2 linked regions of the Alligator mississippiensis genome follow. Each later gene encodes a partner of the first gene's protein in a complex. Links are inferred from orthologs where the notes say so. Each region holds a gene or a part of one and is shown on either strand. Other genes may lie near its edges.

Region 1 (3,741 bases):
GTCAGTGCCTGGGACTCATGCCCCTTTTGCCCACCCATCTTTACACTTCTGTCTTAAATGGTCACCCTGCCCTGAGGCAGGATTGAGTGTACCTGGCCCATCCATCCAGGATAGATTTTGCAGGACCTGTTTCTAAACCTCCAACAAAGTAGATTCCACCCCTCCATGGGAATCTGTGCCTGTGATTCACTACCCTTAGAGCTAAGCAACTTTCTCCTAAGAGTCAATCTAAATCTTCTTTGCTGCGGAGTAAGCTGATTTCTTCTTGTCCTTCCTCTACCAGACAAGGAGAGCAATTGATCACCATCCTCCTTATGTCAACATAGGGATGGGGCTGTTGTTATGTCTTCTCTTTTGTAGATCAACCAAGGCCAGTCCCTTCAATCTAGTCTCACAGGTCATGGCTTCCAAAATTTACATCACTCTTGTTGTTTTCCATTTTTCTTACAGCCCCAAACTGGACATAGCACACCTGCTGGTCCTCACCAACATTGAATAAGAACAACTATTTCTTGTGTCCTAAGTATAGTTCTTCTGTTAACATATCTCAGACTGGGATTTACCTTTTAAACAATATATTTAATTATTGACTTTGTTTAGTTTGTAGCCTGCTAGAAACCCCCAGATTCATTTTTCCTATACGCTACTATTCCCTGCCCTTCTAGGGAATACTTATTTCCTATTTGTGCATTTGATTTCTCCATCCTAAGCATCATATTTTGCATTTGTCTTTATTAATTCTCATCTTGCTGATTTCAGATTATCTTTCCAATCTTCTGAAGTCAGTTTGAATTCTAATCCTACCCTCCCCACCATGCAAGCCCTTCCAGCTCAATATTGTCAACAATTTTTAAGCCAACCCTATATTTCATCCTCCAAATAGTTATTGAATAGAACCAGGCCTAGGACAGGTGCCTAGAGTAACCTGTCTATGTTGCCTTCCCAGTTTGACAATAAACCACTGGAAACTAGTCTTTGAGGTAAGTTTTTTATCAACTGTATGTTCATCTAACAGTGACTCATGCAGAAGTTGTTACATGAGAAAGTCATGTAGGACAGAGCTGAAGGCCTTACAGAAGTCAAGCTGCATCTCATTCATTGCTTTCCCCTTGTTCACTAGGCCAGCTGTCCGATCAGACAAGGCAAGTTGTTCTTGACAAACCCTTGTCAGCTCTTTCTACCACCTTGCTACCCACTAGCTCTGCACCAGTTGACTGTTTAATAATTTGCTTGGGGACTGAAAACCCTCAGTTCAGTTCCTGGTCCATCAGCCAAGATGGGGACAGCTGCTCAGTTATCCTGCCCCTGCCCTCCTTATTGGTGTCGTGCTCAGGGCTTGTCTTGAGCACAAACCTGGCAGTGAACAGGGGCAAGAAGCAATGTACAGTATTAATCAGCTTCCCTGCAGATGCTGTTTTTCATGGCACTGGAGGTAGCAAGCCAGGATTATAGAGGCCCCAGTGTCTTTTCTTAGCTGGCATTAAGGTAAGATGGATGATCAGTGTCTATCCTTGGGGCATGGATAATGAGATCTGACATTTTCCTCCAGGCTTTGCAGACCAGGCCTGCAGAAAAAGAGGTGCTAACACCCCGCCTTTGTGGGGCAGGGCATGGAAAGAAAGGAGCTTTGCAACCTGTTCCCAACATTGCGAAAGCTTGAGAGAGGGCAACATAGCAATCACAGCAATCCAGCATCTCCTCTAAGCTTCAGTGCCCACAGCTCCTGGGGCATGCACACTGTAAATGATTTGCTCTGACAAACTCAGGGACAAAGCCCTGGAGTTCTAGTGCTTTGTTCCCAGCTCAGGCAAGTCAGTCAGACTCCCAGTGATGCCAAGACATTATCTCAAAATGCCCTGGCAAGGCTACAGGGTGAAGTATTAGCAATAGCAAGTCCAGGTTCCAGCTCTGCAGAAATTTGCAAAACTGCCATGAAATTACAAAGGTGGGTGCTATGGGAGCCAAGGGAACCACATAGACTCACATCACATGCTGATCTGCCCCACTATGGTCAGTGGAATAGTGTTGCTTACACCAGCTGGGGACCAAGCTGACGTATAAGCAAACAGCCCCTTCTCTGTGCTGGATCAGGGTTTCCTGGGGCCATTTGCATTGCAGCACACATGGAGAGGCAGAGCTGTACATGCTGTCTCTCGCTGATCAGGACTCTGGCTTTCACCAGCTCTGGATCTGGAGAGGAGTGAGCTCCCAGACCCACTGGGCTGGGATCTCAGGGAAGGGGTGCTGAGCGCAAAGGCCTGTGGGTGCTTAATACCTTAGTAAAATGCTGCCAGCTCTTCTTTCCTCCTGGCACTGCCCTAAGCTGGGCCATCAAGCCAATATAAGGGTCCCTCCATCAAGCATTCCCACCACGATGACAAACCATATCCAACAACCTGGGTAGGATCAGCATCACAGTCTCACTGCCTGGATGCTGGCTCAGAACCTGGGTATTGGCTGGCTTCGGATTGAGGGCTTCTGATGGATAGCTCTGGGCCAAGGGGCGGGGGCAGGTTTGAGGGGTTTGGTGCAGGATCTGGGGTGTTGGCTGAGATCAGGGAAAAGCAGGGCTCAGCCTCTAACCAAGCACATACCCAGTAGGAGCAGCTTGACTGTCCTGGCATCTTTCTCGGCATCTTCCTTGAGCTTCTTCTCTAGCTCCCGCGAGTGCTTCTCTTCTGCGCTGGCCCCAGCTCCCATCTGGTCTTCAGTATACTCCTCTTCTTGATCCAGCCACTCAGCAGCAGTAGTGTAAGCCCAGGGGGTATCCAGAGCTCTTGTCCTGTCTCCTCTGGAACCCACTACTAACTCTGGAAGGCCTCCGCTTGCTCCCTCCTGCTCCGTCGTGAACCCCAGAGAAGAATGACACTCCTCCCAATGCACAGTGCCAGCCAGTCTCCCACAAAGGAGGATTTCGAAGCCCATGGAAGTCATGTGTTCCCTGCTGCCCAATCTGTGGCAAGGACAGGTGGACAAGGAGCAGGTAAGGCCCAGGCTCCCCTCCCTCTGTTTCACTCTGATCAGACTTGCTGCGCTCAGCGACATGAGCAGCCCCATGAGCTGATGCCTTAAACCCATCTCTGAGATAAATCCCCTCAAATCCCCCTACCTGCTGAGTGCAACAATTTCCAGCCTCCATCTGCTCCCATCCAGGGATGCATCATCAACGTGTAAAAGCAGGGACTTCCTCACAGCCTGGCCCACCATCCATGCCCCAAGCTTCCTGTGAGGGGAGGTGGCCTGGGGCTGGTGCCAGAAGAGCTGAGCCCTGAGCCTACATCTCATTCTATGACCTTGGGTGAGTCACCGGAAGTCAGAATCAGTTTCTGCTGGTAATATAGGGGACTCCGTGTTAGGCACCTGACCCAAAGTCTCTGCATGTACAATGTCTTGCATCAACAAAGGCAATGTATCCCACTGTGAGCATACACAGGAACCAAGGCTTCCCAGCTTAAGGGGCTTCAGGGTACATCCAGGCTGGCCACTTTGGCATGGACAGAATCAGTGCAGGGTGCTCTTTCTTGCCTTGCAGGCCAAAGCTCCCTGGCACAGAGTTTCCTGGGGGGCAAAGGGGAGAGAGAGGGAGTGCAGTGAACTCTGAAGTCTCCTTGAACTCGCTGGGGCTTAGGGAATGGGGCAAAGCCCCAGGGAAACCTCCTTGCCCCTGTCTGCCCTTAGTCCCTGCTGTGTTCTGCCCCTAGGCTGGCAGTCCCTCAATCATACTTCCCAGTTTGCTCATTC
Region 2 (3,741 bases), on another chromosome or scaffold:
CCTGTCCTGCGGCTGCGTGCCTCTGTAGCATCCTATTCCCCCTGCCCCCTCGCCCTGAATCCCTAGGTGGTTTCAGTGGGGACGGGAGACCCCCTGCTCAGCCCCCAGTCCCTGCTGGCATCGGTTTTAAAAGCAAGCATGTTCCTGGCAGAGGTGCTCGCTGTGCCTGCCCCGTACCCCTGGGCTCGTGGGGGCTGGGAGCCGTGGGGGTGCCAGCTCGCTCTGGGCCGGGGCCCCGGGGAGCTGGGAGAGGGCCGAGGCACGGTGGGGACCGGGGCACTGAGGGTGTGCTCCCACGCAGGTGTACCGTGCCGTGGCCTCCGTCCAGCAGGCGCTGGAGGAGCTGGCCGCGGGGCGCCTGGGCGCTGCCTTCCAGGCCAGCAAGGAGGCGGTCACCTCCTCGGAGCGGGCCTTCTTCGACCCCTCGCTGCTGCATCTGCTGTACTTCCCCGACGACCAGAAGTTCGCCATCTACATCCCGCTCTTCCTGCCCATGGCCGTGCCGCTCCTGCTCTCCTTGGCCAAGATCCTGCGGGAGGCCAGGCGGGGCAAGAAGGAGCCCACCAAGACGGACTGAGGCGCAACAGGGGGGCCGGGGGCGGGTGCTGGCGGCGGGGCTCGCGGGCGGGCCCTGCGCCTCCCACCAATACAAGTTGAAGCCGGACGGGGCCGTGCGTGTCCTTGCTGCGGGCGGGCGGGCGCGGAGGCTCCTCCCGGGCGGGCGGAGCCGGGCCGCGAGGGAGCGGCGGCGGCGGCCGGAGCCGGGGCGCGGGGGATTTGCGGGCAAAGGCGCTTAGTGCGCGCGGGGGATGAGCGAGCCCGCCCTCCGCGCCGACACGGGCTGCGGCAGGGAGCGGGGCGGCGGGGCCGGGGCCATGAAGGTGAAGCGGAGCAGCGGGGCCGGGGCGGCGGCGCCCGCCTGCACCGAGGACGAGCTGCTGCGCAAGGCGCTCATCGGCCCCGAGGACGTGCTGGGGCTGCAGAAGGTCACCACGGGTGAGCGCGGCATGCTCCGCGGTGCCCGCCGCCCCAGAGGCGGGCCGGGGCGCGGGGAGGCGCCTTCCTGCGGGCGCGCGGCTTTGTTCCGCTGCGGGGCAGGGAGCCGCCCGGCCGAGCCGCTCCCGTGGGGCCGCCGAGCAGGCCTCGTGCCCGGGGCCCGGCCTCCGCCCGGGACCGCGGGAGCCGCCCGTCGGCAGGCCCCGGGGGCAGGGGCGGCGGGCGCGGCGCCCAGGCTCCTGCGCCGGGGGTTTGCCCCGTGCCCCGGCGGCAGGACGCGCTGGCGAGGGGCGCGTGGCCGCCCCCAGGGTGCAGGGTCTCGCGTGGGCTGTGACCCGGCGGTGGCAACAGGCACTGAACTAGGCCTTTTGGGCCCCCCCCCCGGCACGGTGCTTCTGGTCGGGGGACGTCTGCGCGGGCCCTGCTGCTCTGCTCCGGGCCTCGTCTAGCATCCTCGCAGCTGCGCTGGGAGAGCTGGGCCGTGGGCCTCGGCTCGGCAAACGCTCGGAGCCGGGCGTGCTCCCTGGACAGGCCCGGGGATGTGGAGGAGGAGCACTGCTGCAGAGGACAGCTCGCAGCCCTGCCCGGTCCTGCAGAAGGCGCCGTAGCCGGTGGGGTGCCCGCACCGGCTTTGCAGCGAGACCCACGTGGCCTCCGATAGCGTGGGATCGCAGCTGAGTGCCCCCGGGCCTGCCCGTCCTCTGGGCCGTGGTGCTTCGAGCAGCGAGGCTCGGTCCAGGCCTGCTCAGGAGCAGTTGGTGCTGGTCGAGGCGCCCGGCTGGCATAGCGAACCGCAGGCAGCACGCTCCGTGCCTCGTTAGCCCGTGTTTGCATAGTCCGGTGGCAGCCAGCCTTGCACCACAGCTGCTGGGGACAGCGCGCGGGTGCTGCTTGGTTGGTTGCATGCTTGGTGCTTGCGGGGAAAGCACTCCATAGCACCTGCAAAGAGCCACCGTCGGGCACGCATCGGTCTGAACGTTCGCTCTGCCTGGGGCTGCCCCAGCTGCTCTGTCTCTGGCGTAGTGGAGGTGGAGAGCCTTGCAGGATGGGCAGTGCCCGGGGCACAGGCTGCCCCAGGCTGGATTGAGCCGGGCTCTTCTCATCCTGTCCAGCACCAAGAGAAGCCCACGGCAGGCCCCGCGGGGCAAGGTACTTTGCCTTGCACAGGGGCCTGCTCAGCATTAGCTGTTGGCTTAAACCCTGCAGCCGGGCTGAGGAAGGTGGCACCCAGGTCAGACCATTGGTGGTAGCTGCGCCACTTGCCCCGGCTCGCCCATGACTCCTTTCCGCTGAGGCGAGTGAAGCCTTGCCGTCCGTGAAGGACCACGCCATTACCAGAGCCTGCGGTGGGTTCACGGTGCTCCGCGGGTGTTTGCTACTCTGTGGGGCTGACTCCTCCACTAGCCAGGCCTGTCCGCGCGTTTGCCGGGCACCAGGGTGGAGAGACCTGGGTGTCAGACCAGGGTGGAGAGACCTGGTTCCCAGGGGCCTTGACTGGGTGCAAGGATTGGGGTGGGGGCTGGAGAGCTGCGGGCAGGCAGCCTCCATAAGAGAAGCAGCTGCTTGGCCACTGCTCCCCACAGCGTGCTGGGCACTGGCTGCCCTGGAGATCAGCCAAGCAGGTGGAAGAAGCTGCCTCTTCCACGGGGGTCGCTGGCACAGCCCACAAGTGCCCGGCTCCTGGGAGCTGTGAACCACGTGGCACAGGGGCACTTGCTTCCAGTGCATGGAAGCTCGTCCGGTCACAAGCGCAAGCGAGGAGGCGGGGAAGCCAGCTGGGCTCTGCTTAGCGTGCCCCTAATATGCTTATGATGGCAGTTATCCTGGCTGTCGGTGTCCTCTCAGCGTGAAGCTCTCCGTGGCTGCCTGCTCTGTGCCAGGGGGCACGTCTGGGGCAATGCCCGTGTTCTGGGGCTGCCTGGCGGGCTCAGCTTTGGCCTGGGTGCTGCAGAAGGCAGCTGCAGCCTTGTCTTGGCTGGTAGCTGGGCCCTTTCGCTTGCTGCCCAAGAGAGGAAAACCTTACCACTTGATTAACTGGGGATTACCAGGGCTGGGGGCAGATTGTGATGAGTTAGCAGCCCAGCAGGAGGGCAGAGACGTCTGTCTGTCTGCCTGCCTCCTCACAGCCCTTTCTGAGCAGGTAGCCAGCCTCTTGCTGGCTCTCCTGACTGAGGCCTGACAGGGGCAGTGCGCTGCCCACATTGCTGGCACCCAGGCATCCCCCCCGCACCTGTCCTGACCTGGGCTGTGGGCTTCCCTGGCCATGCCGGGTGTGGAGCCGATGGGTGTGTAGGGGATGGGGTCTTGCTGACTTAGAAGAAGTCTTTGCCTGACCTACTAAAGCTGATCTGCGAGGGTCCCGGGCACCTGCAACTGGGCAGCCCCCAGGTGTGGCAAGGGAAGCCCAGCCCTGCACTTGGTCATGACCAGACTAACCCCAAGGGTGGGTGAGGCCCCAGTGAGCGGCGTTGGACGGTGCCCTGTTACAAGCCCTCATCCACCCACAGTCCATGCCGTCGGGGTCGAGGCAGCGATGCTGGGCTGCCCAGGGCTGGCCCGGCCCCACGAGCCATGCTGTGGGCTGGAGCGGCAGGAAGCCCTTTGCCGTGCGCCACCCGCCTGCCCCTCGGATGCACATCCGTGCTATTTCTGGTCATCGCCCAAGAACTTCCAAGCGGATAATCTCCTAATCGCCAGCTCCTCAGATTCATCTTCACTTGTCTTTGCCGGAGACCTGGCTTATGT

The links. The genes of interacting proteins can lie anywhere in the genome.
Region 2: the proteins of GNAT1 (region 1) and UNC119 are in contact, whole or in part, in a crystal structure (PDB 3RBQ), measured with the Homo sapiens proteins. The link is inferred for Alligator mississippiensis from reciprocal best matches to the Homo sapiens genes GNAT1 and UNC119. Residues at the interface, in NP_000163.2 of Homo sapiens: Gly2, Ala3, Gly4, Ala5, Ser6, Ala7, Glu8; in NP_005139.1 of Homo sapiens: Asp87, Phe88, Val89, Arg90, Phe91, Ile105, Lys106, Lys107, Gly126, Arg127, Phe128, Val129, Tyr131, Phe137, Val147, Glu163, Leu172, Ser218, Tyr220, Asn230.

Annotation. Positions count from the first base shown.
Region 1 is NC_081835.1:43,092,153-43,095,893, reverse strand, and holds the start of GNAT1 (guanine nucleotide-binding protein G(t) subunit alpha-1), read right to left. Parts: upstream 2,917-3,741; 5' UTR 2,701-2,916; coding exon 2,595-2,700; intron 1-2,594. UniProt on the Homo sapiens protein: Functions as a signal transducer for the rod photoreceptor RHO. Required for normal RHO-mediated light perception by the retina.
Region 2 is NC_081837.1:1,020,676-1,024,416, reverse strand, and holds the start of UNC119 (protein unc-119 homolog A), read left to right. Parts: upstream 1-751; 5' UTR 752-809; coding exon 810-996; intron 997-3,741. Other genes in the region: PIGS (GPI transamidase component PIG-S), read left to right, coding at 302-577. UniProt on the Homo sapiens protein: Involved in synaptic functions in photoreceptor cells, the signal transduction in immune cells as a Src family kinase activator, endosome recycling, the uptake of bacteria and endocytosis, protein trafficking in sensory neurons and as lipid-binding chaperone with specificity for a diverse subset of myristoylated proteins.